Linked DNA regions of Oryzias latipes. The protein of the gene in region 1 interacts with the protein of each later gene in a pairwise test. Links are inferred from orthologs where the notes say so. Each region holds a gene or a part of one and is shown in the gene's direction. Other genes may lie near its edges.

The links.
Region 2: the proteins of keap1 (region 1) and dpp3 interact in binary tests that used the Homo sapiens proteins (3 or more experiments, as listed by UniProt). The two-hybrid records come from large-scale screens. The link is inferred for Oryzias latipes from reciprocal best matches to the Homo sapiens genes KEAP1 and DPP3.
Region 3: the proteins of keap1 (region 1) and ccnb1ip1 interact in binary tests that used the Homo sapiens proteins (3 or more experiments, as listed by UniProt). The two-hybrid records come from large-scale screens. The link is inferred for Oryzias latipes from reciprocal best matches to the Homo sapiens genes KEAP1 and CCNB1IP1.
Region 4: the proteins of keap1 (region 1) and wdr83 interact in binary tests that used the Homo sapiens proteins (3 or more experiments, as listed by UniProt). The two-hybrid records come from large-scale screens. The link is inferred for Oryzias latipes from reciprocal best matches to the Homo sapiens genes KEAP1 and WDR83.
Region 5: the proteins of keap1 (region 1) and mad2l1 interact in binary tests that used the Homo sapiens proteins (3 or more experiments, as listed by UniProt). The two-hybrid records come from large-scale screens. The link is inferred for Oryzias latipes from reciprocal best matches to the Homo sapiens genes KEAP1 and MAD2L1.

Annotation. Positions count from the first base shown.
Region 1 is NC_019859.2:10,399,738-10,405,869, forward strand, and holds the start of keap1 (kelch-like ECH-associated protein 1), read left to right. Parts: upstream 1-2,434; 5' UTR 2,435-2,553; exon of another isoform or gene 2,554-2,557; intron 2,558-2,630; exon of another isoform or gene 2,631-2,648; intron 2,649-4,357; exon of another isoform or gene 4,358-4,416; intron 4,417-4,625; 5' UTR 4,626-5,469; coding exon 5,470-5,775; intron 5,776-6,053; coding exon 6,054-6,132. Other genes in the region: sphingosine 1-phosphate receptor 1, read left to right, coding at 1-533. UniProt on the Homo sapiens protein: Substrate-specific adapter of a BCR (BTB-CUL3-RBX1) E3 ubiquitin ligase complex that regulates the response to oxidative stress by targeting NFE2L2/NRF2 for ubiquitination.
Region 2 is NC_019872.2:7,883,736-7,888,878, reverse strand, and holds part of dpp3 (dipeptidyl peptidase 3), read left to right. Parts: intron 1-109; coding exon 110-200; intron 201-376; coding exon 377-507; intron 508-803; coding exon 804-934; intron 935-1,081; coding exon 1,082-1,140; intron 1,141-2,076; coding exon 2,077-2,271; intron 2,272-2,359; coding exon 2,360-2,472; intron 2,473-2,569; coding exon 2,570-2,662; intron 2,663-2,760; coding exon 2,761-2,823; intron 2,824-2,923; coding exon 2,924-3,048; intron 3,049-3,413; coding exon 3,414-3,534; intron 3,535-3,767; coding exon 3,768-3,947; intron 3,948-5,143. UniProt on the Homo sapiens protein: Cleaves and degrades bioactive peptides, including angiotensin, Leu-enkephalin and Met-enkephalin. Also cleaves Arg-Arg-beta-naphthylamide (in vitro).
Region 3 is NC_019876.2:17,646,670-17,652,763, reverse strand, and holds ccnb1ip1 (E3 ubiquitin-protein ligase CCNB1IP1), read left to right. Parts: upstream 1-2,387; 5' UTR 2,388-2,488; intron 2,489-4,266; 5' UTR 4,267-4,268; coding exon 4,269-4,571; intron 4,572-4,645; coding exon 4,646-4,967; intron 4,968-5,354; coding exon 5,355-5,524; 3' UTR 5,525-5,807; downstream 5,808-6,094. UniProt on the Homo sapiens protein: Ubiquitin E3 ligase that acts as a limiting factor for crossing-over during meiosis: required during zygonema to limit the colocalization of RNF212 with MutS-gamma-associated recombination sites and thereby establish early differentiation of crossover and non-crossover sites.
Region 4 is NC_019859.2:27,116,507-27,122,436, forward strand, and holds the start of wdr83 (WD repeat domain-containing protein 83), read left to right. Parts: upstream 1-2,013; 5' UTR 2,014-2,259; intron 2,260-2,801; 5' UTR 2,802-2,814; coding exon 2,815-2,917; intron 2,918-4,244; coding exon 4,245-4,365; intron 4,366-4,881; coding exon 4,882-4,987; intron 4,988-5,135; coding exon 5,136-5,184; intron 5,185-5,417; coding exon 5,418-5,544; intron 5,545-5,625; coding exon 5,626-5,693; intron 5,694-5,930. Other genes in the region: wdr83os (protein Asterix), read right to left, coding at 752-857, 1,595-1,644. UniProt on the Homo sapiens protein: Molecular scaffold protein for various multimeric protein complexes. Acts as a module in the assembly of a multicomponent scaffold for the ERK pathway, linking ERK responses to specific agonists.
Region 5 is NC_019876.2:30,701,359-30,707,489, reverse strand, and holds the start of mad2l1 (mitotic spindle assembly checkpoint protein MAD2A), read left to right. Parts: upstream 1-2,595; 5' UTR 2,596-2,716; coding exon 2,717-2,780; intron 2,781-3,249; coding exon 3,250-3,396; intron 3,397-5,031; coding exon 5,032-5,152; intron 5,153-6,005; coding exon of another isoform or gene 6,006-6,008; coding exon 6,009-6,112; intron 6,113-6,131. UniProt on the Homo sapiens protein: Component of the spindle-assembly checkpoint that prevents the onset of anaphase until all chromosomes are properly aligned at the metaphase plate.

The DNA of each region.
Region 1 (6,132 bases):
CCATTGTGGTTCTTTATGCCAGAGTTTTTCACATTGTGCGCACCAACACACAGCGCCAGAGGCAGGGCCTGACAGGACCCACGAGAAGAAGTTTATCAAGAAAGTCTAAGAAGTACATAGCCCTGCTAAAGACAGTGACTATTGTTCTGGGTGTCTTCATCGCTTGCTGGATGCCTCTGTTTGTCCTCTTCCTCTTAGACTTTTTTTGTTCCAGTGGCAAGTGCGAACTACTATACAAAGCCGACTACTTCCTCGGGCTAGCCATGATCAACTCACTCCTCAACCCCATCATCTACACTCTGACCAGTAGAGACATGAGAGTAGCCATTCTGAGGCTGCTGTGTCTGCCATGTCTGATTGCCACAGGCGGACAGATCAACAGGTTTGGGACGTTCCTGGAGTACAGTTTCAGCAGGAGTGAAGTGGGCTCTCAGAGGTTGGACGTGGGGCAGGAGTCGATCATTTCCACTGGAAACATAATCAACACTTCATCTCCAATTAAATCTATATATCCCAAGCTCTTCAAGTCATAGACTCTGGCAACAATGGTATTTTGGGGTATTTAGTAAAGCCAAAAAGTTAAGAAGTATGATAGAGGTGCAGCTGAATCATGCTTTGACAAATGCTTCACATTTTACAAATAAAAAATAAATGTGCGAACAGCAACAATACCATGAACTAGCTTTTTTAGGTAAGAAAAAAAGGGCCACAGTATTCTGGTCAAAATGTGAACTAAACATGACTTCTTGTCCTGATGGTGTGGAACAGGTAAGAAAATAGGTCAACCTGTATCATCCACATCTTCAAGTTGAATGGTCTGCTACTCCTGCTCTGATAAAATCCTCAGCACCATAACTGCTTTTGTTTGTGTACGTGGTGCAGTGGAGCTTTGCAGAGAAAGACTCTGAAAAGAGGGAGTTTTATTTTAAGAACACATGAAGATTGTTGTAGTTTTACTGTGGGAGGGATGAAAGTTTCTCTAATTCTCTTGATTTAGTTGAAAGTGAACCAACCAGACAAAGCAAAAGTCTTTCTATTTTCTGTTGGTCTGGCATTTTCTGTCCAGTTGCATTAAAATGTCAACACATCCGAGATGTGGCCAAAAAAAAAAGATTTTTGAATGTTATATGGTAATACTTAGACTGTGACTGAAACCACTCAGTTATGAAAACACAGTTCGGAATTTTTATCTTGTGAATAAAGTTTCATTTATTAGCTGCGGCGGGTGTTTAAAGGATAAGAATTTATCTGCACTTGTAACTTATTTTATGGGAATTCAAGAAAACTTCAGGGCTGTAACTACAATACTTCTTTCTGTCAATCATCACAAACGTTTCCATTTTTCTTGAGATATCTGCGGCTGAAATACAGTCGAAGTGGATGAATGTGACAGTTTTCTATTTTGTGCTGAACTTAATGTAGCGACAAATTTTTCATTACTGAAAAATATGTTTTTTTATAACACTTGTAATGTGAATTGTATTTTGTTACCTTCCTTTTCATTCAAATAATAAAATATTTTCTTAGGCGAACCATCACTCTTTTTGCATTTTGTTGTGTGTGATTTATGTGGTCTGAAAACACATCTGGAGGAGACATTGACTCACATGCATCCCGCTCTTATTGTCTCAGCAAAGCACAGTTTATCAGTGGGTTAACAAAAGACTTGGTTTCATTGCTCTGGTTTTGTTTGTCGTTTGATTCTTTAACAATATCGAAATTTTCCCAGATGCTGATTGCAGGTTTTTGCAATACTCCTGCAGACAGCAGTCAGGCTTTCTTTCCCACACTTGAACACGTGTGCAGAAATAATCTATAAGACGGTTGTTTTTATCTCTGCTGACAAATGAGCTTACTGACATGACTCAACAGAGGCTTGACCTTTGCAGCTGTAACTGTTGGCTTTTACTGCCACCTTGTGATTTCTTTTAAAAACAAGGCTGCTATGTAGGCTACTACCCTATTGACCCGGATTTCACAGTTTGCAGGAGTGAAAAAACTTGGTGTGTCAGCACAAGCCAAAATGTGTTTTGGTCCCATCTGAAGCAAGGCAGATTTTTTTTCTGATAAAAAATAATTGTTAGATAAGATGATTGCGAGAGAGCTGCATCATGTTTTCTTTTAATGTAGATTGGTTCAGAGATTTCTGAGTATGAGTGACATATGTATGTTCTTATTATAAGATTGAATTGTTCTTGTGTAGATGCAATGCTTATTTAAGAGGATAAACATATGAGTAAAGTATAACTGTAATGGTTGTAACAGTTTTGTTAAGCAATAAGTCACAATTTTAACTCAAAGTTAACCTTTTGGCCTGGTTTTCTTTTTTTGTTTTTTTTTAATTCTGAGACTCCTTTCCCAATAAAAGCCTACCACCCCCTGACGCAAACACGACTCATTGCTCGTCAATGGAGGCGGTCCCGACGTTCAGGAAGCATGCTTTTATTGTGAAGGCCAGTTGACTAGTACAATGCTTAGTCACGGTGAGTTACAGCCTCCCCTCCTCCTTCCTATGTGGCGCACAGCTCGGCAGAAAACGTTGGAAATAAGAGAGTACGTGAGTTGCCTTTACTTTACAGTTAAATTTTAAAATGTCCATCAGTACGGTTTTGTCAGTTCGGTTGAACGGAAAGTAGGTTTTTTGGGCGGTAAGACTGAGTACTTACTCTTTGTTAGCATGTTTGTAGCTATCAGTTCTCAGACGTTACTCCACTGTCTATTTTAGGGGCTTATTTTGCTGCTGCCGATAGCGTTACCTCCACCTCGGTGTTTTCTTCCAATCAATGAGACCGCGGAATTTTTTATCTTTTTAGACCTCAGTTTGGTCCACCTTCATCTGTGTTTTTGCTGTTGCATGCCAGCTCTGTGGCAGTTTCAGCCGAAAACAAGCTTGTAGTAAGTGTAGATGATGACCTTAGTCAGTGTGGAGTGAAAGCTAAACTTCGCGTTGTGTGAAAGTTCTTCTAGGAAAGGTGCACGGGATGGAAATCTAATTCCATCCCCGGGCTTACATAAGAACCAGCTCCACTTCTGGGTCGCGTTTTGGTACATTCAGTTCCACTCTTTCTGGCTTGGCGAATAGCTCGCAATGAGTCACCAACGAGGGAAGCTCTCCTCCTCCACCACGAATGCCAACAAAACACGTTGGACGCTCTTTGCTTGTCTTCGGCCTCGCCCCCTCCGCGTTGGCTGTTTCGCACAAAGTTTGGCGACGAATCTAGAAGTGAAAGTCTCTCCAAGTTGTTGTGGTCTCCACAGATTTTCTGCAGCTTTTTTTTAAAGTGACAGCTATTGATTGCAGGCCCGTTTTTTGGAGTTGCACCTTTTGTATGAAAGGTGCTTTATAAATAAAGTTGATTCAAATGGGGGTTCCCAAATTGAGGTGCAGGGGTTTATTGAACTTTTTTGTTACTAAAAATGACAATGCAACACAAACTCTCATTTTTTTGCAATATAAATATCTTGAGAAAAAAGTAAAATGACATAATAATGTTTATGTTATTGAAAATGTTACACTTTTTGAGCTCCTTGCTCATTTGGAAAAAGATTTGAACCAAAACAAAATGCTCTGAACACCAGCTAAATAAATAAGTTTACCCTCTCAGTTCAATACCAAAGAGATGAAATGCCACATTCACCAGACTGATACGCTAGCTGCTTGTTTGTGAGCGATAGCATGTTGAGCAATATGTTCTGGAATGTTCTGTTTTCCTTGTTAGTCACCAGGAGGAAGAAAAGTGCAGTTTCAAATCAGTGTCATAAAGTGTGTTTCGTGTTACTGTAAGTGTCACTGGCTGACTCCACAGCAGCCTTTAAACACATGACTTTTGATAACAAAATAGTCTTTTTCCTACTCTACGAACTGTAAAACACTTGTCTTTTTATCTCGTCCCTCAATACAACCTATGGTGTGTTGGTTATATAAGTAATCGTGTTAGGATTGTTGCTGACGGACTGACTCTTCCTATTCAGAGTTCACCAGTCAAATTGGCCACAGTCTGCTCTTTGTCTTTCATATCCCTGTTGCTTCATGTTCTGTAAAGGAGAAGTTGTGATGACAGTAAACTGGCCTGCATTCACTTTGTTGCACCCTCCACCCCTCTGTCATTTTAACATTATGCAATAGTCGAGTTGTTGTCCTCCCGTGGACCCGTGCCCATTCTGTCCTTGCTGACGTACTTTTGTCCAAACCAGCCTGGAGAGCAATCTCTGCCATGTTTCAGTCATGTTCTTGCCCCACCAAGCCTGAAAAATTCTCATGTTCATGTCTATCTTCATGACATGTAATAATTAAACAAAACAATGGGTTTGATTAACTGAAAATAATTAGTGTTTTCTATGTTCTTCTTACTATCAGCTGGATTGGTCACAGGATAAGAGTAAATACTTGTCAGCTGGATTTATGCCCAATTGAAGGTACTTTAGCAGTGTGTTTTTAAAGTCAAATATGTTGTTTTATTTTATATCTTTAATGTTAGTGTTTTTAGACTTTTGTTGTACACGTCTGTATAAAAAGTATATCTTTACAGTGGCATGTTAAAAGGTTCTTAACTGGGATCATGTGGTGACCACAGAATTTATCTGAGGCTTCCTAACACAAACCTTTTCTCTCCTTCTCCCCTCAGCTGTCGGCTAAATTCCCTGCCTGCTTGAAAGCAGCGGCACAACAAACGATATCCAGCTCTGGAAAATCTTAAGGAAGTTTTTTTTTTTCAAGTATAGACTTCAGTTCTTCCTTCTCCGTTTCAAAGAGCTCTCAGACCCACCAGTGACGCCTTTGGATCTCTTCTTGATTATCAAACAACAAGCAGTCAAACTGTTGGATTCCTACACATTTATCTCAACATTTGTTTTACTTTTAACGGTCATAGTTTAGCTTTGATCCATCTGATGAGTTGGTTCCTTTAGGGAATTTAACTGACCAACATAGATTTAATAAGAGACTTTCAGAGCATGATTTAATTGGCTACTGCCATATATTTCTTTTTATTCCTCCAACAAACAGGCATGTTTAACAGGCTTCTGTCAGTATCATGCAGGTGTGGAAAGACAGAGAGTTTTGTGACAAATGCAGTTGATCTAAAAGAAATCCCTTTGATTCCCGACTCTGTAGTTTAAACTTAATTACAGCAACATCAATCTTTAACTCCCATTCAGCATGCTGGAGGGCCAGTGTATAACGGCGTGCCCAGCTGGAACTGGCATCTCTCAAGCTATTTTCAATGTCATAACTCGCAGCATGACTCAGCTTGAGTGCTAAACAGAGCCAGGACATCTTCATGTGGTCATAAATAAGACTTTTGCAGAGACTAGGAAGGACAACAGAGACGCTGTGACAACTGGAAAGACTGGAGCTCTGCAAAACGATCACCTCGACTTCATTTCACATGTGGTGCCAGGATGCCCAATAACCGTGTCCACCGATCTTGAAGCAAAGACATTAAAGAGGAGAAAGACCCTTTCTAGGAAATGACAGAGTGCCTGACAGAATGCAAAGCGCTGGTGACGCCCTCCACGCGCAACGGTCACCGCGTCTTCAGCTACACGCTGGAGAGCCACACCTCGGCCGCCTTCGCCATCATGAACGAGCTGCGGTTGGAGCGGCAGCTATGCGACGTCACGCTGCGGGTGCGCTACAAAGACCTGGACGAAGTGGACTTTGTGGCGCACAAGGTGGTCCTGGCCTCCTCCTCGCCCGTTTTCCGAGCCATGTTCACCAACGGGCTGAAGGAGTGCGGGATTGAGCTGGTTCCCATCGAAGGGATTCACCCCAAGGTCAGTGGCATTTGCTTAGAATTCATCATTTTAAGGGGTTTATTTCCATGTCACGCCTTGGAATAACAGTTTACGTTTTGTGGTGCAGTGAAGTGGATGTAAACAGGATAGATGTCAAAGAGAAGATGCCCAACTGCTTTAATATGGAGGGACTGCTCTGTCTCCAGAGGATTTCAGTTTAACTCGTTTCCAATCTAAATGTTTAACTCCCTTTTGAAGATGTAACTGTTAGTTTCTATGTTAAGGAATGAAAAAGTTCTCAAACAACTCCTTCTCAGGTTATGGAGCGACTGATTGAGTTTGCCTACACTGCCAGCATCTCCGTGGGAGAGAAGTGCGTCATCCATGTGATGAACG
Region 2 (5,143 bases), on another chromosome or scaffold:
TATTGCAGTCGGTTTTGTTTTAGCATTTATTTATCCCCCCCCCCCCCCCCCCCCCCCATTAGCTAACAAAAGTTGACTTTCAAAGTAACAATGTGTGTTTTGCTTCTAGAAACTGTCTGCGTACAACACGCGTCTGTTCAAAAGGAACGATGGAGGAAAAGTCTGCTATGAGGTTCGCTTGGCTTCAGCAGTGCAGAAAGGTTAGAGATCAAATCACAGCCAATAATAAGATGGAACCAAAAGGTTAACATGTTGGAGACAGGCAGAGTTACCAGACGTGCTTTGGCCTGCAAAGTTTAAAGCATTAGAAAATGATTGACATAGCGGACAATGCTGATACTAACAAAAAACAATAACTTTTGTTACTGCGTCACAGATTGCGCAGTGGACGGGGAAAAGGAGACTTCCTGTGGGACCTTTACATTTGAAGACAAAGAGTTTATTGTGAAAAGAGGAGACTATTGTCCTCTGATGGAAAAAGTTTGTTTTTACCTCCAACAAGCAGAGGTGAGGCAGCAAAGGAAGCAGTTGCTTTTAATCATAATTTCAGTTTACCTTTGATTATTTCTACATTTGACTCTAGTTGGAGTCAATCTGTTCTTAATTTTTTTAACTGCCTTCAAAGGTTTATCAGTTTTTTTTATTATTTTTTTAAAATAAAGAATTCATGTTCAATGACTAAGTGCCATAGAAAAATGAACTAATACTGTTAATGTATCAAGCCTTGATAACAGAGGGAAAAAAATGTAGTTTTACCTCTTTTTAAATGTTTTTTTTTTTTTTTTTTTACTGACTCTTGGCAGGCTTATGCAGCCAATGAGAACCAGCAGAAGATGCTGGAACAGTACAGACACAGTTTCAACTTCGGTTCGGTTGAATCCCACAAAGAGGGTTCACGCTTCTGGATCAAAGACAAGGGACCAATTGTTGAGAGGTGAACCGCGGCACTAAAACACTTACTTAACCTCACAGATCTCATTTTTACTGCCTCAATTTATTTTCAGTTTCACTCAGACCTTTGCTCCTAGAATTGTTGGCGTTCTAGTAAACCATTTCTGAGTTACCTCTTCTTTGTCCTCAGTTACATAGGATTTATAGAGAGCTACAGAGATCCATTCGGCTCCAGGGGAGAGTTTGAAGGTAACCCCTGACCTGATCATGATCAGTGATTATTGAGATCCACACTGTGAACCTACAGGCCGCACACAATTTAATTGGTGTCCTTGTTCAGTTTGAGGTTCAGGAAGAAGTTTTTCATTATTTAGAATCCATATTATTTGAATCCAAATCAATTTGTAGAGGGTTTATACAGTGCACTGAAGAAGCAAGGTGAACAAACTAGAAATGAAACCTTCTTTATTCAATGAAGAGTATTTTATTACTAGCTTGACTTGTAAATGAAAACGGGTGCTCCAGGTAATAAATACTATTCAGATTTAACATAGGCCTCAAGCTAATGTTTCACCAGGTGGCCTGTTTGAAATCTACATCTTAGCTGGCTTTCTGTAAGTAGAAGAAGAATCAGTTGATTAATGTTCACACATTTTTGGACACAGATAATTTAACATTCTGAAGCCTCCGCACCAGCCTGAAAAATCAATCATTGTCATTGAGGTGATTCTTAAATTCATGGTTAACATTAAAGGAACCGAGGAAGCTGTGTCCTGCAGGTGGATTTAAGTTTAGTCTCGTCTTTCTTCATCTTCATGACTTTAGGAATCTGCTACAATTTTTACTAGAAGTAAAAGAACTTTCATATTGAACATGGTCACTAAGTAATAATTATTTTATTAGTAGGAATCCAGAAGTAGCTTACACATTTTGAAATAAGCTTTCATTCATTTTTGAGGGAAACCAGCAGAATGTACACTCTCTGGTTATTCTGTCTTTTTTTTTTTCCAGAAAAGGAAAAAAAGAAACCCCAACAATAATTATTTCTTTTCTGCCATTATTCAGCAAATCCTTTCTAAGACTAAGAAAATTCCTGGTGTAGTTTTTGACAGAAGTGCTCATTCTGTCTGAAGGTTGGTAGTTTTAGGAGGGTTTCATTCTCTGTTGTTTTGATGCCCAATCCAGGTTTTGTGGCGGTTGTGAACAAGGCGATGAGCGAGCGTTTCACCAAGCTGGTGAGTTCTGCAGAGGTCCTGCTGTCCGAGTTACCTTGGCCTCAGGAGTTTGAGAAGGACACCTTCCTGAAGCCCGACTTTACTTCACTGGATGTTCTCACCTTTGCTGGAAGTGGAATACCAGCTGGAATCAACATCCCCAACTGTACTTACTCGTAGATTCTAAAACCAACAAATGTAATTGTTAGTTTTGAAGCATTGCCCTACAAACTGTTTTGCTTCCTTGCTTTTAGATGATGACATCAGACAGTCGGAAGGATTTAAAAATGTGTCCCTCGGCAACGTTTTGGCTGTAGCTTATGCTACCCAGAAAGAGAAGCTCACCTTCCTCAAAGAGGAGGACAAGGTAAGGTGTTCTGCTTACACCTGTCGCCATTATCTGCTAAGGGTTTTTTGAAATGGCTCTCATGTGTGTGCTGCTCTTGTGTTCCATTTTCTTCTAGGATTTGTTTATCAAATGGAAGGGTCCATCCTTTGAGGTGCAGGTTGGACTTCATGAACTGCTGGGGCATGGAAGTGGCAAACTTTTTGTTCAGGTTAGTCCAGCATAGTTTAACTACACACAGAACTCTATTACCTGGAATGGAAGTAGAATACTTTATTGTAATAACCTGTAGTCTTGCTTTTCTCTCAGGATCACAAAGGCAAGCTTAACTTTAATAAGGATAAAGTGATCAACCCAGAAACAGGAGAACTGGTGAGTTCGTTCACTTTAATGGCCTACGTTCAAATGTGACACCCATTATAAATGGGTTTCAACAGAACAAAGTAGCTCAGCGGGACACTTGGTCTTTCAGGTGTCCAGTTGGTATCAGGGCAGCGAGACTTGGGACAGCAAATTCTCCACAATAGCCTCTTCCTACGAGGAATGCCGCGCTGAATGTGTCGGCCTTTACCTGTGCTTGAACAAAGAAGTGCTCCGGTGGGTTTTTTAAAAAAATCTCAAGAAAATTTTGTTTTAGGATGAAGATCTAAACCAGATGTTTACTTCAACAACATTAATATTTGATAAGTGGTGGTAAAACTCCATAAAACACTTCAGGATTGTAATTGTAGCTGAAAGATCTTATGAACATTGACATTTTCTTCTAGTGGAGTTTGGTTAGATGTATGAAAATTATAATACAATGGATTACAGCTTATTGCTTCATTTGAAAAAAGTTAAGAGTTAAGTAAAAACGAATTTAAATTATTTTTATCTCTGAAAAAGAGGCTGACCTCAAAGTTTATTTCAGTGACGGCTTCAGTGAAAAAGTTCCAGTTCATATACATTTTTGTGTGTTGTAGTATTTTTGGCCTCGAGGGTCAGGATGCAGAGGATGTGGTGTATATCAACTGGCTGAGCATGGTCAGAGCAGGACTGTTGGGCTTGGAGTTCTACACACCTGAGAGCAAGAACTGGAGACAGGTAAGGTCTGGCAACATGGCGCCCGTTTTCCTGCTGTAAGGTTTGTGTTACAAGAGGCCCAGAAAAAGTTTGAATAGTGTTTATAAAAAAAGTGAACATGCAGACTGTTAAGTATGTGTTTCATGGAATGATGCGTGTCTATGTCGGATAATTAAGCTCACGCTCAGTCAGTCTGTGTTTACATGAGCGTCAACAGACCTGTGCAGTTTGTCACTGATGTCTGTTTTCCTCAGGCTCACATGCAGGCTCGCTTCGTGATTCTGCGTGTTTTGCTGGAGGCCGGGGAGGGCCTGGTGGGCCTCAAAGAGGTGGTGGGGCACGACGGCAAGCCTGATGCACAGATTACACTGGATCGGACCAAAATCCACACTGTGGGAAAGCACGCTATTCAGAGGTTCCTCTGTAAGCTGCAGGTACGTGTCCTGTGTCATCTTTAAACGTGCAATATTAGTGATGTGCCGCTCCATATCGAGGCTTCGAAGCGTGTGGCGAGTAGTGGAGGGGGCGTGTCCGTGATGGGTTTATCGAGGCTTGCTTCATTTAGGGTAGGAGCGGAAAATGATGATGTCCGAAGCTTTGCTGCCCAGCTGTACCACGTGATTGATTCATGAAGTGTTTTGGATTGTGCCGCAAGTTTTGACAGAGATATAAATCCCTCAGATTCAAAATGTGGGTGTTTGATGGAGAATCACGAGTCAGTGAGAGTTTAGAGACAGTTTGGTTAGAGGTAGAGATCTTGGAGACAGTTTGGAGACTCCGGAGAAACTTAAAAGAGGAGGAAGTCCCCTGTGTAGGAGCTTTTGATCTAATTTCTCCCAACAGCCCTCACCTCACTGTAAATTATCATTTCCATTTTTGTCGTTTCCGAATAATCATTTGCCATACTGCCAGTATATCCAAACATACATATATACACAGTAAACTGCCATCTCTAAATATATACCTTTTGCATTCTTCATTTTGCTAACAGTTTTATTTACAGCTGTTCTACAAACTCTCACACTTCAAATTCCTACCAATTGATATTTTTATGTCCAGTAGATCTCCTACTAGAGCAAATGAAGCTTCAAAAAGCTTTGCTCTGGAGTGAACCAATTGGATGTAAGGCTTCATGAAGCTTCATTTGCCCATCACCACTGAATATGTGTTATAAAACAAAAATACCAGAATATTTGTACATCTACTGCTATCTTTTCTTTAAATTGTTAGCCACCTGAATATTTAAAAACACTTTTTCATAAATTGTAGCCCTTTTTTCCCCTCCTTGTTTATTGCTGGGGTTACATTCTAAAATTAACCTGTTGTGAATTAAATCTGCGAAGTGGTATTAAAGATGTTTAAGGCTGTAAAACTCCCCACTAGACAATTTATACACTTTTCTCAGACGGGAACATTTTCACACTTTTCTTTAGTTTAAACTCTTAAAGTTCAAACTTTCACTGAAAAAATAGTCAATTTTTAGAGAATAAAATCAAAGATCTGATTAAAGATTTATGTATGTTTAGAAAATTGAACACATTCAGTACAGGAGACACGGCACAGAGGAGATTGTTTGACAAGGTCAACAGCCAATCAGGACGCAGAACAAAAAAGCATGAAAAAAAACTCA
Region 3 (6,094 bases), on another chromosome or scaffold:
CACCAGCACCTCCAAAAAAAGAAAAAAAACTTGTCCAATTTGTGCTCCTCCTCTCCCAATGCTGCTCCGCTGCATGCATATACAGGAACACACAAACACACAACCACTCCTTGTTCTGCGATATTTGCATTTCAATGGCCGTGTAACACACAGCCTCTCGGGGTCTCTTTCCCCCCTACTCTTTTTTCATGGTTTCTCCAAAGCAGCCACAAACTTTCAACCAAAAAAAAAAAAGATGACAGAAGCAAGTTTACGACAATGGGGATGCTCAACAGGTGGACGCAACCATTAAATAATGGTGGTGGGGGGGATTATATTTTTCTGATAATCGCCTGGTCAGGTGAGGTTTTCAGATAATAGTTTGTTTAAAAAAGTTCTTTTTTAAAACTGTCCTCTGAGCGTTTTCATTATGACAGAGGACCGTGCGGTCAATATTTCCACGCTTTGATTTCTATAGGGCCAATTATCACAGCCGACGAGAACAAGCGCGCGCGCGGCTAGTTATAAATAGAGGCCACGCATCCATTCCACTTGCATGGATGTAATTCGTGTGTTATCGGTCAGTGCATAATGCCCACCCCCTCTACTAAAAAAAAAAATTACACCAGAGCTCTATTTAAAAGGTAGAGAATAGATGGGAATCAGTGACAATGGCGAGTTGGACACAGTTGAGTGAGCATCTCCCTTCTCTCACTGTGAACCCCCGGATCCAGTGCTGCACAGCACAATGCGCCTCTTTCACCCCCCGCCTTTACTCCTGTACCACGTGGAGGGACGGATAAAAGCAGGAGAGAGGGCAGAGGGAGGGAACGTGGGAGGAGGAGGAGGAGGAGGTGAAGGTGGCATGTTTAGGTGAACCATATACATCATCTACTGTCCTCTGTGGAATCATGATGATATAACTTTAAATGAAAAAGGAGAAGTTTGTTCATTTTTAATCTCAGGTTTTCACAGAAGTTATAGGCGTTTCTGACAAAACTCTATAGAAAACTATATGATTTTAAAAGCAATGCCATTAAGTATTGATTCAATATTTTTAAATCTCTTTTTCAAAAACCCATGTAGTAATGACAACATTGAGACTGAACTAAACTTACAAAATTATTAATTTGTGCAACAAAATATATCCAAAACAAATGTTATTTTTACCTGAAAAACAGCTTCAGAACACAATTCATCCATGGATTTGAATGACTTCAACCAAATTTGATTGAGTGTTCTTGACCCAGTTTTCCCTTTGCTCATAGTTTTAGGTAATGGCTTTATATTGTTAAATTCCAACAAAGATGAAACTTTCACCTCTGCTTAATCAAGATTGTTGCCCCATAAAGCAGGTTTAGAGGAGGGATCGATGGATGCCACTATAACTTGACTTTAAGTACACTTTTAAGACTCAGACATGATCAGGATTCATGCATTATTATTATGATGTATAAATTAAGCAACATTTTGACACGTTACATTTGTGAGAAAGCAGCAAATGTCTATTAACGATGCGCTCTACAATGAAAATATGTGATATCCTAATTTTTTCTTCTGACTGCCTTACTTTAAGTCCCTCTCTGATCATCTTTTTTATTTATTTTCAGAGCGTTCCCACTGAACTTTTACCTGGGATTATGCAGTTTTTAGCTCCAAACAAAAAACCTGTCTCGTTTTCTAGGACATAGTTTCTGCAGAGCAGCAGTAGTTCGTTCGAAATTCCCCTCTGAGTTGTGTGTGTGTGTGTGGGGTTGTTGTTTACACTCTCTCTCTCGCTGGCTTTCAGCCGGCACATCCCCAATCTGACATTACAGGTGTTACAAAGATGGCGAGCAGTGTTTGAGCAAGCCAGCCATGCAGTTTTGAGCCAAATGCCAGCTCAGATGAGGGAAGAACAAAGACGAACACAAATATATTTGTCTACAAGTGGATGCATCAGAATGCAGCGGAGCAGGGAGCTTGTGACTCGCCGTCTTAACTTGTACATCACACTTACAAGCTTTTTCAAACAGCCTTTTATGTCTGCTCCTGATTCACAACGATTTGAAAAAAGAAATACTCAGAAATGCAATTTTAAGATTAATTTTCTTTCCATCATGAAACAAACATGATAAAATCACCCAAAACACAATTTTCATCAGAGTGTGTCTCTGTTTTTTAAGTCAGAGCTAATATTTTTCCACGAATCAAGTTTTTTTTTTTTTAAATAATTGCATGCATTCATATATATACCTAAATATAGACACAAACAAATGTTAAAGATGTGCTAATGTGAAGCTATTGCCTCAGCTAATGTTTATTGTGAACAATATACTTTGGACTTTTTATATGTTAAAAATAGCAAACTTTTAGAGTATCCATTCATTTTAGTTAATTAACAGAAATGTTAACATTTAAGCTGCATCCATCAACTGTGGCTGTCTAAGGAAAAATTTCAGCCAATCGGATCACAGCGCGAGCGAGAATAGCGTCACCTGTTAGCTAACACCTGCAGCTGGACGAAGTGGTAAGAACATCTATTTGACGAATAAAAAAAGACAGTTGCGGTGATAAAATATTACTATATTTAAATATGTGACTTTAAACTTATATTTACGCATTATTAATCGAATATTTAAAGATAAGACGAGGGCTTTGAATCTTTATTTATTTACTCGCTAGCTAGGTAGCTAGCTAATTGTAGCCAGTGACGTCTTTTTAAAAATTAACAAGTTGAACTTTCTTTCCTTCTGACTCATGGAATAAAAAAGAAAAATAACCCACAAAACTTTAACATTTGTAAAAACAAGCCATACTAGCCTAGAAACTAGTCTAAAAACACACATTTCAACAAAAGCTTATTTTATTTGGAATAATAAGGGTATCCAATACTAATCATCACTTTAAAAATCCAAATGTTATGAGAACAATATAAATTTAATTAGGCAAATTTTCGATTCCCATTAATATTTATTAACATATTAAAACCTTCTTAAAATTTGGTATATGCAACAGTATTTTACACAATATCAACCAAATTATTACACCTTTTTGAAGGGAATTTAATACTGATCCCTTAAACCACATGTGTCAAACTCAAGGCCTCAATTAAAATATTTTAATTTCTTAAAATATTTTTTTTTTGTCGATTACATATTATTTATGTGTAGCTGCTGTTGTAATTATTCAATGTTTGTGTGTATGCAGACAAATTGTCATCAAACCATCAGTTGGATGCAAGGCTGTGTGCAGCCTTTTTTTGTCAAATGTTATACATGCTTAATACATAATATTTTTAGCTCAGTTTGTTATTTTTCTTTATTTTTTGTCTTTATCATATCTTTATCATTACTGGAGTTATGTGGATTTTAATAACCAGACAAAATTTAAAAGGATTCATGCTAGAGTAACAAGCCAAGGGATGTTTTAAATGTAACTGTAATTGTCAGTTTAAAAATGTATAATCAATAAATAATAAGTTATTTAACCTCAAGGAGAAGTTACATTTATTTTTCATTACATTTAGTTACATGTATAAGTCATATATGGCCCTTTGAGGACAGCTCATATGCTGATGTGGCCCTCAGTGAAAATGAGTGTGACACCTCTGCTAGACAATCAAACATTCAGAGACAGACTTTACTTTTGGGTTGTTAGAATGACAACATGGACCGGAACTTTATTTTTTTTTAATACAGTTGTTTGTGGGGAAATGTCATATTTATAAAAGTTAATGGTCAAACTTAAAACCTAAATTTGTTCTTTTTCTTTTTCATTAATTAATGCAATATGGTAATAATTTCTGACCAATTCAAACAGAATTAGGCAGGTTCAACCAATGTAATTTTTAAAGGTACACTTTTTATTTAAACCCTGTAGCTCAATTTTATTTATTTAAAAAAATAAATGGAGGGGGGGTTTCTTTACTTTGGCCCTATACCTCATGGCGGGTTAAAAAACAAAATAACTTTTTCTGCTTGCTGTCGTTCAAATGGGGAACGAGTGTCTACAATGATTGTTTAGTGGTGAGGTGCAAACAATCAAATATTAGGATGCTTTATTAAGTTGTTCTCTCAGAATCTCCATATTTAAAAGAAACTAGTCTTGTTAGTTTGATATTTAATTATCTGTAGCAAAGAGGACTAGTATTAACTTTTCTATACACACAAAATCCTTTACTTTTTATACCCCTTGACTGATTTTATCACAAAGAATTTGTTGTTTAATGGTCACAGTCAGTATTTCCTGTCAACAGCTGTCACTTTGCACGGGTCTCTTTACTGAAACCATTGCTGTACCTTTCAGTCATGGCCATGTCTCTCTGTGACGACACACTGCTGTGTAACTTCCCCAAGTGTCGGAGCAAGTTGAGCGGCTTCGCTTGGGTCACGGCGTGCTCCCACGTCTTTTGCGACCAGCATGGATCTGGCGAGTTCAGCCGCTCCCCTGCCACCTGCCCCGCCTGCTCCTCTGCGCTGTCCGGCAAGCTGGACATCGTGAGGACAGAGCTCTCTCCATCTGAGGAGTACAAAGCCATGGTGTTGGCCGGTTTGCGGCCGGACGTAGTTTTGGACATCTGTGCTCGTGCCTTGGCCTTCTGGAGCTACCAGGTCACTTTTTAACTTAGTTAGTATCCCTCTGCGTCTTACAGCTTTGATTTTATTTTTTTATTTTTTCCTGACAGGTCCATCAGGAGCGCATGTATCAAGAATACAGTCTCTCCCGCGCTGAAGGACAGCTGAAGCAGATGGACAAGCTCCTGACCCAGCAGAACCAGAGCAGAGAGCTGGAGCTCTCATCCATGAGAGGGGAGATCACATCCCTGAAGAAAGTGATGGAGGAGTATAAGAGGAAGTACAGCGAGGTGTCCGAGAGGCTGATGGAGAGAAACAGGCAGTACCAGAAACTGCAGGGGCTGTACGACTCCCTGAGGCTGCGGAACATGGTGGTGGATGTGGGTGAGAGGGACACACAGCCCCAAACAGGACATCAAGACTTAAACCACGGTAAGAGGACGTCCCTGTCTCATTTGGGCCACGTTTTAAGGCAAACATGAAGAAAAAAGCTTAATTGATATCAATAACTTGCAGCATGTTTTTCTGACTTGGAAAGTGTCTTGTGTTATAATCACTCAGGGGCATAAAAAAATTTCTGAATTTATTTAAAAAATGTAATTAAGATAAATCATTTTTTTGAATTTTAAGTCCATGTTTAGAACAGGAAATAGTCACAGCAAGAGCAGCGTTAAAACCCCTAAAAGAGCGCTGAACCGTTAGGTGTTTTGATCAAAAGACACCTCCAGAGAACGGGCAGCAGGAGTTTGAAGCCGATTCTGTGTCGCAGGATTTTTCACTAGCGAGGAGGAATCTGTTAATTGTATTTGTGTGATTCAGCAGCGGCGTCTCAGCAGGCGACCCCTCTGAGGAGCCCCCAGCTTTTCTCTCGTCGCCCCGATGCGCAGAGTCGCTTCTTCTCCTGCCTGGAAGCGGATGGAGCCAAGCCCTTCTTCCAGTTCCGCTCCCCAGCCAGAGACAGAGGCCGCCCCTTCGTCAGTAAACCGTGAGACTAATCAGTTCACCTTCAGCTGCTGACAAAACGTCAATGTTTTGGTTTCTTTAGGAAAAATGTTAGTTTTGTGTACATTTGTGACACAAGTCTTCCATCATCGAATGCTTATAAAGTTGTTGTATTTAAAGTGGAACATGTTTTTGTGTCACTTTTTGGAAAAGTTAGTTAGATATTTAAAAAAAATATTTGTAAAGTTTTTTGTAAGCTGCAGGAAGACTCAAAGCAACTACTGATACAAAAAGCTGTTTGCTTCTTTTAATAAAGTAAAAAAATATATATTTCTGTCGGTTTTATGTGTGGACCTAACACTGTAGTGTTAACTGTATATTTAGTTTTGGTGGTTGTACAGATTCAAAAATAGTGTGTAAAAAAACTACTTCTGAATGTTTTATGGACTGCACTTTTGTGCACCGGCAGTCTGCAGCTTCACTTAAAGACCTGTTTAGTTTGATTTCTCACTGACCACAACCCAAAGTCCTAAAATGCAACACTGCTTTGTATTTATGGTATTGTTGCTATTATGATAAATATAAATGAACTATTGTTTTGTCAAAAACAACATAAT
Region 4 (5,930 bases), about 17 Mb from region 1:
GTCAAAGGCTTGATTTTGTTGTTGGCCACACTTGTTTCAAATTGAACTTTAAGTTAAAGTCCCATTATCTGTCACGCTCATAGGTGTGTGAAATGTGTTTTCCACATTTGATCCATCCCCTGGAGGAACAGTGAGCAGCAGAAACAAACAGCTGCTCTAAGGAAACATTTGGTGGTTTAACCCTAACTGTAACCATAATCATAACCTTAAACCGTGGGTCTGTGCAGCCAAGAAAAAGGTTTAGCACTGGCCAAACGTGTTGAAAATTATGTGCGAATAATTTATATATATAAAAATGCAAGAGAGTTAAACGTGACATTGTTTTTCATTCTGACTTTGGAGTGCAGTGATTCTTTTTTCAACCATCAAATATTACCTTGACAACATTGGTGTAGAATCAGATTTTTTTTAATCAATACATGTAAATGCAATTCTATACTTTATTAACTTTACCTCTGAACAGCAACTAGACACTGTTGTCCAGCAAAAGATAAGAATAATTACTCTGATAATATATCAAAGCCTTTACCATCATTTTGCTCTGTTATCTGACATGTTAAAAAAGTCAACGAATGCCAAAAAACTAAAAATCTACAACAACAAAAACTACAAATCAATTACTTATTCAAATTGTTCGCATTTTTCTTCAGAGAAAAAAAGAGCTGTAATGTGGGGCTGAAAGAGCTCCATGCGGCTGCAGAGCCTTAGGTTGCAGACCCCTGGGTTCAGTGGAAATGTGTGTGCCAGTAACCTTGAGCATCAGTCCACACATGCTGAAGATCATGCCAAGAAGATTCATGTAGTCAGGTGTGGGGTCCTCAAGGGTGGGGTTGGATTCTGTGCTGGGGGGCTTGTATCTGCCAGAATACAAATTCAGAAATAACTACACAGGGTCTGTGATAAAAATTGAAATGAAATTTGCTTCTACGTCACACCTACAAGATTTTTCCAATGGAATTCTTTCGTCTACTTCCGATTGATTCTCAACAATTTGAACAACGAAATACTCAGAATGCAATTAATCTTAATTTTCTTAATATAAGTCAACCATCATTATAAAAACACCACATGAAAATATTAAAAACGCCAAACATCGGAGTGGGTCTGTAACCCTTGTGCTATCTTAGATGACCCCACCCTTACATTGACGTGTTCTCCCTACCATGACAAAGGTGGATAAAGGTGGAAAGATTTATGTAATCCATGGACACCAGTGAGGTTCACAAATCATTGAAGAAAAAAAGTTCAGCGCACTGTCTTGGGGTCTAGATGACCCAACTCCCAATGGTAAAGTGTCTAGGATAGCACAAGTTAAATATTCACCCAAATCAACCCAATTTTAGTATTTAAGTAAGAGAGAGAATAACTATTTAACAAGTAAAAACATAATAAAACCAACCGCAGTTCACTAAATCCAAATTAATGTGAACAATCTCTTTTCATATATGTATCTGAATAGATTACAGTGTAAACGCTAATCCAATTTAACGCACTCGTTATATCATGACAACTCACTCAGCTGTACTAGCTAACTAGCTGCTACTAGCTCCCTCTAAAGTGGAGTGCTTTCTAAAAATCAAACAAAAACTTTTACCTGAGAATTTTATTTTGCCTCCTCGGGTCTGCCATGTTATTGGAGGACATATTGAGTTTGTAATATCCTCAGAAGGTGAAAAAAGCGAAGGAATTTCAACGCCGATAATCGCAGGTTATCAGCCTCTGTTGAGAAGGAAACTTCAGCTAACACATTAGCTCAAATGTCCGGTTTGGGATTTTTAAAGTAAAAGTTTCGCCATCTTCTAGATATCGGTTGTTTGTTGGAGGTTGGCAAGCAGCTTTGAAGTGCAACCAATCTGAAGTGCGGATCAGAATTATTATTTTATTTCATTTCTTTTTTCCTTTGTTTTCTCCGAGAGTTTTTTTGTAGAACCACCTAAATCATTCACAAGGACTTAACAATTCAAGAAATGCAAACTCTTATTTTGGAGGGATCATCTGATCCCAAAATGCATTGCGTGTACATGCTAGCAACCATTTCTAATAAGATGAATGAAACTAGATGTCGATTATTATTATTGTGATTTTGTTTAGGTTTATGTTGACGTAACATGGCTAAAAGCGCGAAATCTTCCAGTTAAAAGGAACAGATCAAGTGTGGAAACAAACACACAAGTGAATTACGACTAATTTAGTCAAGTGACTTAGTGCTAAAACAGAAAGTTACAAGGCTTAGACTAGAGGAAAATAAATTTTAAAAAGGTAAGAGAAATTGTCTTTTGGCACGTCATTTTCGACATACGTGTAGCCAGTGTTAACATTTTTTTCTTGGCTGCACAACCTTCCAGAGGAAGGTTACATGTTAGGATAACAGTAGTTAGTTGGGGTGAAACCACCAAATGGTTCCTGAGACTCACTGAGGGAGAGCAGCTAATGTTTGTTTCTGCTTCTCACCGTTCCTCCAGGGGATGGATCATGTGGAGAACACATTTCACATACCTAGGACCGTGACATATAATAGGACTTTAAGTTTAACCTTAAATACGTGCGGCCAACAACTACATTCAGCCTTAGAGGCCCATTTAAAACACATGCGGACGATGCAGCAGTGTGCATCATGGCTCCACGTATGTGAATTCCATCACCTTTTGCGCTGGTCGCACGCTTATACGTGCAATAACAGCCGGAAGGCAAACCAGTAAAGTTGTATTTTTAATTGAAACACTTTTATAGTGTAACGTTTTGCATTTTCATAATTTTAATCCTCCGTCTTCCAGCCTGATATTATTATTTTGATTATTTAGAAAGAGACTGGTTATGGCATTTCCTGAGCCCAGACCTCAGGCCCCCCAGCTTCCCCAGCATCTTCTGAGGACGATCAACTGCCAGCAAGGAGCTGTCAGAGCTGTACGCTTCAATGGTGAGGAGCTCTTTATTACCTTCGCGAAGACATTGTGGATATTAAATAAAAAAGAGAGTGAGAAATAAAGGTGTTAGGAAAAAAAATTCGACAAATATTCAATTGTGCCAGCTCTCTAATTTTGTTACAGTTTCAATAAAATATAACGTTTTTATTGAACTTTTTGTAATACAAACAAGAGACTAGTAAAATGATCCAAAAAATCTTGCATGAAATTACGCAAAACCATAATGTATTAAAGATCCACTAAAAAAATGATGTTTTCTTTTTTAACATGTATTTGTGGCAATTTATTTGATGATGGAGGACATTTATAAACTCAGAGGACTTTCTTTGTTTTCCTCTAGCTTGTATCAGGCTCAAAACGTTATGGCTGGATAGTTCCAATACTGCTCGCCGTTGTTGCTGCACTGCTAATGTTAGGTTGGGGGTGTGACGGGGCTGTAAGATAGTGTGAGAGCATGTAAACAAAAAGGTGACAGGAAGTGGGGAGGGGTTGCTCCACATCAACAGTCTCTCCCAAACCTCAGAGGCAAATTTCTAACAGCGTAATCATAATTAGAAGACCACGCAGAACGAGTTTCCCTTTAAAAACCATGTTTGCATACTCACCAGAAAGTTTTTACAAATGAAATCAAACAAAAGTACGCAAAGATTTCCCCAATATATTCTGAAAGAAAAAAAGAAAGTTTGAATTTGTTCTTTTCCATTGTACTGTACTTTATATGTTTTAAAAATGCTTTACAATATATAAAGTAAAGTATATAAAGTAAAGTAAAACATACATTTTCTTTATCTCTTCACAAGTATTTTGTATGGCACATAGAAGTATTAGCTTGGAATTTTTTCATTTTATACATGATTTGTAAAGTAATTGTTTTACCAAATATAAGCTTTCACTTTTAAAAAAAGTCATTGGTTTGATCAAAAGAGCCTGACTCTTAATTCTGGCTGGTGTATGCTTTTTGAAAAATGAATAGACATGGAATAATTAAAATAATAATAATAAAACTAACCATTCAGCTTATGGCACAACATTTAGTTGGTTAAACGTTGATTTATTTTTCTAATTTTGAGTCCAAAAGGATTTTTGGTCTGAACCATTTAGATTTAAGGGATTTGACTCAAACTAAGGTGGAAAATTCATGACTGAAATAGCAAATTCTTTCAATAAAACACTCAACACCAATCTGTCTTCTATTTGAAAAAAATATAAAAACATTGCCTCAAAGGTAAATCCGTCCATAACTGTTAGGATTCGTCTTAGATTTTGTCCAACACATGCTTCTTTTAAGCTCATACCTGCGTCTCCCTCACTGTTTGTCAGGTGATGGGAACTACATCCTGTCCTGCGGCAGCGACAAATCCCTCAAACTGTGGAGCGTGGGTCGGGGGACTTTGCTGAAGACATACAGCGGCCATGGCTACGAGGTTCTGGACGCTGACAGGTGAGGAAACCTTCCCTGTTTCCTACAAATCATTTCAAATGTCATCATTGGCTAGGTGACAGAAATCTGCCCTTACAGGCTACTACAAAACCATCAGCAAAGGAAATGCAGAAAAAAGCAAACTGGATCAGTAGTTTTAAAGTATTTACTGTTTTCTTTTGTCTTCCCAAAAAAACAATTTCCCAAAATCCGACCTAAACACATGAGATGTGATTGGAATGACTACAATGTCGTCTTTAAAGCTCATCAGGTTTAAGTAGAGATCTTCAAATGAGTCAAAGGACATACATAAAGACAAATTATCAATATTTCCTTCAAGTTTAACATGTGTGCTTTTGAGTTTTAAACTGTTTTCATCCTTTTTTATTTACAATGTCTATTTTTGACATTTGCATCTGGTTTTTCATTCACTTGAAGCCGATCCTGATTTGATCCCATAACTTTGACTTTGAAATGTCTTTGTGGTGTTTTTGATGCAATTAAGAAATGTGTATTTCCCATTTGCTCTCTTTTTAGTTCCTTTGACAACAGTCAGATCTGCTCCTGCAGCTCCGACAAGACCGTGATTTTATGGGATGTCGCTACAGGACAGGTCACACGGAAACTCCGAGGTCATGCAGGGGTCAGTTCGACACTTTACTGTTCCATCGTAATTTTTTGTTTGTTTTTTGGTTTATTTGAAACACAGTTTTCTCGCCTTTAGGGGTCTCTCCATACTCCTGCTTCCCTCTTTACATTTGTAATGTCTTATTTCATCCTTCCTTCTGCAGAAAGTGAACTGTGTCCAGTTCAATGAGGAGGCAACTGTCACCTTGTCTGGTAAGAAATCACTTACCGGTACACAACTGTAGTTTAACAATCAGCGCAATATTTCAGCACCAGACAGCTGTTCTCTGTTGCCCCAAAGTGCTGAAGAGAAGAGAAGAGAATTTAGAGGAGTGACCTTAAAGCAAAAAACATAATCAACAAACAAATACAACAAAATTAATGTTATACCCGTATTTTTGCCCCCCATTTCATTGTCACATGCTGCTTGTTCTCACTTTACGTAGGATCCATAGATGGGACAGTGAGGTGCTGGGACAACCGATCAAGAAAATCGGAGCCCATCCAGATCTTAGATGAGGCTCGTGACGGCATCAGCAGCCTCAAAGTGGTTCAGCATGAGCTGCTCACTGGGTCAGCCAAGAATGATCACAGAAGCTCATGATTATCACCTAAGTCAACCGTTTACTAACCCTAGAAAACGTCTTTGGTTAGGTCAGTGGATGGCAGGGTGAGGCGCTATGACCTGAGAATGGGACAGCTGCATGTGGACTTTATTGACAGTAAGAGGTTTTTTTCTCTTTTACAGAAACTGCAAAAGATTCTGTGTTTATTGCAGTTCAGTTTGTTGAGGTAAATGTGGTAAGTTAATGCCTTAGTCACATACAGCCATATGGGTGATGCAGGTGTTTGGGTTGTCTGGATACGTGGAGTGTCATAGACAGGTGCGGCCGCATGTTACAGGTAACGCAGGTTAGTCCTGCAGTCCTGTACGTTCAGAATGTACGATTGCCGGCCTG
Region 5 (6,131 bases), on another chromosome or scaffold:
GTCACAGCTTTTACTAGCTGGGTCAGCTCCTCTGCCCGTGCAGGCCCCTTGGTGTCAGGCTCTGATACACTTGCAGCTCTAACCTTTGGAGGGGCCTCAAGCTCCACCCTGGAGGAGGGCCTCCACAGCATTTTTCTCTCTGTGGCCAGCTCCAGGGCCTCCTGCAGTAACTTACGGTGCGCTGGTTGGGTTTGAACGCGAAGGTCGTCTGGTCCCGGGCTAGCTCTTCCTGAATGGCTGGGGGCATGTGAGCATAAATCTGGTTAACTAATCTGTCGATGTCAACAGCCAGAACTCTTAATTGCTCGCCTTGGCCGAAAGAGCTGCCCCGGTAATGCAATTGTAGCGTCCCTTTCCCACACACTGAGGCACGGAGACTTAATCTCTTAACCCTTGTGCTATTTTAGATGACCCCCCCCTTCCATTGAGGTGTTCTCCCTACCATGACAAAGGGGGATAAAGGTGGAAAGATTTCATGTAATCCATGGACACCAGTGAAGATCACAAATCATTGAAGAACAAAGGTTCAGAGCACTGTCTAGTGGGTCTAGATGACCCAACTCCCAACGTTAAAGTGCCTAGGATAGCACAAGGGTTAAGGTTATTTATTCTGGTTACTGTAGGCTGTAACCAATGCTGCACAACTTGCCCAGAAACTCTTGTATCCTCCCGCTGAGAGCACTCCCCCAAACTTTATTCCCTTGCTCCTGCATCAGCCCCATTTCCTTATTCGGGCCATAGCTGAACCCTATTGGACCAAACTCCCCAACTACAGGTTGAGCGACAGAACTGAGAGCCAATCAGCATTTCTGCTTGATGCGTTCAATGAACACCGGAACTTAGAACGCGACCCCACAGCCACCCAGTACACTGTGTTACATAATTTTTCACCACACTGGTTTAAAAAAATAAAAGACCCTTTTGGGTTATGACAGGTTCTTAAAAAATATTTTCCAATAACAAGCAAAAAGAATTGAAAATTGTAATGAAAGCTCTTCCCTCAGGATTATTTCAACTAATGACCTCTCCCCGTAACCCTTGTGCTATCTTAGGCACTTTACCGTTGGGAGTTGGGTCATCTAGACCCACTAGACAGTGCTCTGAACCTTTTTTCTTCAATGATTTGTGATCTTCACTGGTGTCCATGGATTACATAGCGCACCTCACTCCACTCCGTGCTGAAAACAAATCCACACACACACACAAGAAAAACGTGCCAAAGAAACTTCCACTACACACTAAAAAGGAAATAAATACAGTGAGGAAGACGCTGCCACAAGGGGCCCCTTCACCAACACCACACGCACTGGCGCCCGACTCACACCTATGCAACAATAAAAAGGAATCAGAGTCAACAACACAATAAATACAGCACCACTCTAAAACACATTAAAATGTATAATAAGGGTGGGTAAAGAACACGCAGTGGCTCATGACATCTGCAACACGTCCAGCCGCTAACAGAATCTAGTTAAAAGAGCAGAATAAAAATGAGTAACCGGTGATCTACATTCTCCGACAAGAGGAGCTTCAGCCATACATACCACCATGCAGGCAGGCAGCCACTGTCTGTCAACTCACTCCCTGTTCCTTATAAAGAAGCAGAACAGCTGAACTACATCCCCAATCAAGCAGGCATGCACCTGTCACAGGCCGACCTGCCGGTTACTCAAGGGTGGGGACATAAGATAGCACAAGGGTTAAATATCACAAGGCATCTAAAAATAGACCCTCTATTGACAATTAATGATATTGATATTTTCAATAAAAAATGCTACAACAAACATATATTTACTACTTTATATGAAAAAAGAAGCATAACACCTAAAGGAGAAATTTATTGGAATAATATTTTAACTATCATTTGGACAAAAGCATAGTTACTGCCAGAAACATTTGGCATAAATAACAAAATTAAAGAAATACACAAATGAATTCTACATAACATTTACCCCACACTATGTTCATATTCAAATTCTCAAATATAGGAAATAACTGTAGCTTTTGTAATGATTTCCCAAAATCAGTTCTTCGCCTTTTCTGCCATTGTCAATTCTCCCTTAAATTCTGGATCCAATTGAAAAGATTTATAAGCATGAACAGTACTATTATTATATATTTCAAACACATTCTTACATATTTTAACTCGCAGGATCAATTGGTAGGAAATAGTATTGATTTGTTACTACTTCTATTTAAATAAGTGCTGAGTAAAAAAAACCAAAAAAACAATTTTACAGGATTTTTGATAGAGATTATCAATTTTACTAATATCTTCAAAAGATTATTACATTCAAGGCATAACACTGAAACAATATGAGCTTTTTTGCTTGATGAATAGTTCCCTCTACTGAGAAATACTTTAATATATTTTTATTTATTTTTGTTTTTAAATTTTCCTTTTTGCTAACGATGTCCCTGTTAATTTTATTTACATACTATAATTTATTCTTTATTTTTTAAGATAACATTGATTTTTGCCATCTGACGGTAAACTTGCCGATGTGATGTTTACTGTTGTATAAATAAAGTTTCAAAAAAAGAAAAAAGTCATTTTCTCCTGTCTAGGGTTGACCACGTGGGGAGGTCTGTCTTTTTTGCGCATGCGTAGAGGTTGTCACTGATTTTTCAAATCGGACGGCGGGTACCAGTTTCAGCCTTCAGTGCAGCAAGAAGCCCGACGTTTCTTTTCAACGGTTGATTGTCATTTCATGAAATGACGAGTACTTTAAAAGGAATCACCCTTAAAGGAAGCGCGGAGCTGGTGGCCGAGTTTTTCTGTATGTTTCAACATTTGTTTCTGTACTAGCCGGGCTTTTCAACGGCTCTTCCTCATTTGTTGTGTGCTAGCGGGCGGTCGGGCCCGCGTGCTCGGTTGTTGTGTGTAGCCAGCGAGTGTATTTACGGCGGCTCCAGACCGAAGGCAGAGCCCTAAACCGTCGCAGCATTTTAAAAGCCTTCCTTCTGAAGCCAACTTCTTAAAGATCGAATGGCTGCTTCTGGTCGATGTGTAGGTTAATGGCGGCTTTCTAACACCGCCCACCGCCAGGTGTGCTGGTAAAGAAGCCGAGCGTCACCAGAGTTAAAGTAGGAATGCTAGATTTCGGGTTGAACAGACACAAACTACTTATCATCGGCTGAGTAACTAACGTAGAGTAGTGTGGACGAAAAGAGTGTTCTCAGTCTTTGACCTGAATTAACGTCACAACCCCCCCCCCGCTAATAACAGCCCCGTGATCCTCCCCACAGCCTTCGGCATCAACAGCATCCTGTACCAGCGGGGCATTTACCCCCCAGAGACGTTCACCAGGGTCACTCACTATGACATGAGCCTCCAGGTCTCCACGGAGCCCAGGCTGAACAACTACCTGACCAACGTGGTGTCTCAACTCAAAGGTAGTTTGTCCTTTCTTTGTCCTAAAGCAGGCCGTGTCTGTTAGGACTTTATTTTTCTATTTCTTAACATGGAGGCAATGATCAAGATGCAATTCCTGTCTGTCAGCGTCCAGCAAAGGCTTATTGAAGACAAGAGGCGTGGGATATTGTTTCTCTTTACAGATTTATGGGATATGGAGGTGGATGTTGGGATGATTGACACCTCATGTTGTTTCCACGTGTCGATGTGCCTAAATAGTGATGTTTTCCTGCCCAAAAGTCCTCTAAAAGCCCAAAGAGTTCATCATAATTTAGGGTCAGACGCAACATTGAAGAATTTACACAGATTTCTCAAAGTCATTACAGAAATGATGAAATGCATAGATTAAAACCGTAAGTCACATTTGCTTGATTGAATGAGACACAAACTTGTCTTTGTGGTTCTTGTCAGTTTGGTCTTGAAGTTCCTGCATCCCCTCACTTTGTTCCTCCTTCATTTTCTAAGAACTCTTTTGTGTTGTTTGGTATTGAATGGTAACGATTTCCCACTGGCTCTGAATAGAAGTTAAAACACAACAAGATCATACAGTTTTAGAAGTCTGGATTGATCAAATTGTTTGTATGATCAGGATATCCGGCTTTATGTTCAGTTCTGACGGCTCATTTTTGAAGTAAACAGAGGATGTAGTGAACTCTTAGAATCAGTCCCCCAAATTTCTACACAGTCGGTCAAATATGGTAAAATTAAGGAGCAGTGTAATAAATATCTACTGTCGTATTTTAATATGTTTAGATTTACTTATGATGGAAATACTTTTGGAGACTTTATTTTGTGTGTGTCTGATGTGAGGCTTTAACTTAGTTTGTCATCGATAAAAACGCCTGAGAATCTGAATTCTGTAACACTTTAAATTAAGACATTTATTTTAATTGAGACATCGGTATTGGTGTAGTAGTTAGCAAAATATGTCACACTAGTTTTATCTGGGTTAAAGGAGGATTTGTCGTCAGCCATGATTTTATTTTGTGTGACCCTTGTTCTATCCTAGGCACTTTAACGTTGGGAGTTGGGTCATCTAGACCCACTAGACAGTGCTCTGAACCTTTTTTCTTCAATGATTTGTGATCTTCACTGGTGTCCATGGATTCCATGACATCTTTCCACCTTTATCCACCTTTGTCATGGTAGGAATAACACATCCATGTAAGGGTGGGGTCATCTAAGACAGCACAAGGGTTAACTCTATGTTCACCACATTAAGTTCCCTATGATTGTTTGTAGAATGGAATAGAATAGATCTGTCATCAGCAAATAATGAGTTTTAATAGTTGTGAGACATTGAATATATCATTTATGTAAATACTGAATAGCAGCGGGCCCAGAATTGATCCTTGTGGGACACCACAAGCTATCTATCAAGAATCAGCAGAAAATTAGCATCCTGAAGACGTTTGTGTAGCTCGGTTCGTGTGTTGGTGGTGTTGAAACAGCAGGAATAGGTTTTTCTTGTGTCATGTTAGAACAGGCTTGTTTTCCAGATGGACACACCTGGTCCAGGTAAAACGGGACGGTGATCTGCAAATCTCTGAGCCTGGACTTACCTGGTCTGCGTGTTAGGCCTTAAAGCAGGCGTGTAACGCGGGTTTGGGTTTCAGAATGGCTGTTTGAGTGCAGCGTGCAGAAGCTGGTGCTGGTCATCACCTGCCTGGAGACCAACGAGGTGCTGGAGCGATGGCAGTTTGACATCGAGTGTGACAAGTCGGCCAAAGAGAGCAGGTGAGCCCGCTCTCCAGTTCCAAATGTCTCAAGAGGAAAGGAGCTTCTCCAGGGGCTGGCTATCCCACCACCGCTAGCGTGATCCGCGGCGCGCTGTGGCGTGGACGAGAAGCGCATTTCTTCACATAGGCGTGTTCTGAAGCAGAGTTTACATTTAAATGTAGGTCAAGGCTAGAAAACCCATGTTGTGTGTTTCTCTAGCGCTGGCAGCTAAATGCTAACGTAGAAGATATGCAGCTATTGATGACGCCATCCAGGACTGGTAATGTTCAAATGTTTCCATAACTGCTGGAGGGGGGATGGGCAGGAGCTGGGAGGAATTGGGATTCGGTTTAAACCTTAAAAAAGGTTTTCTGTGGGGTTGGGACTCGGCATGTACTCCAAATCAGGTTCTCATTCTGAGGGAGCAAACGTTTCTGTGGTTTTTATTTCAGGCTGCTGCTCTGCCGTCCAAATAGCTACAATGACTGAGTTTATGGAGAAAAGTGTCTTCAAATCCGGACGTTACAACCGCTCCACAACGTCATGAATAGTAGTCGGTCTGCTGCGTTAGCGCTCAGAAAATACACATCATGGGTTTTATTTAAAAAGTCACGCATAAACAAAGTCATGACTTACATTTAAATGTAAACGTCTGTGCTTCAGCGCACACCCACGTGAGGAAATGCGTTTCTCCTCAACGCCACAGCGTGACGCGGATCGTCCTACCAGCAATCCACCACGGCTCCTCCTTTGAATCACTGTGGGACACCACTACAGCTCCAAAATGCCCCTTCAGCTGGAGCCAGAGGGGTAGGGGGGCAGTCCAGCCTTTGTTTCTGTGTGCTGACCTCTGACTCTGATCCTTTCAAAGCAGTGCTCCCAGAGAGAAGTCCATCAAGACCATTCAGGATGAGATCCGCTCCGTCATCAGACAGATCACGGCCACCGTCACCTTCCTGCCTCTGCTGGAGACGCAGTGTGAGTTCCCATAATCCAT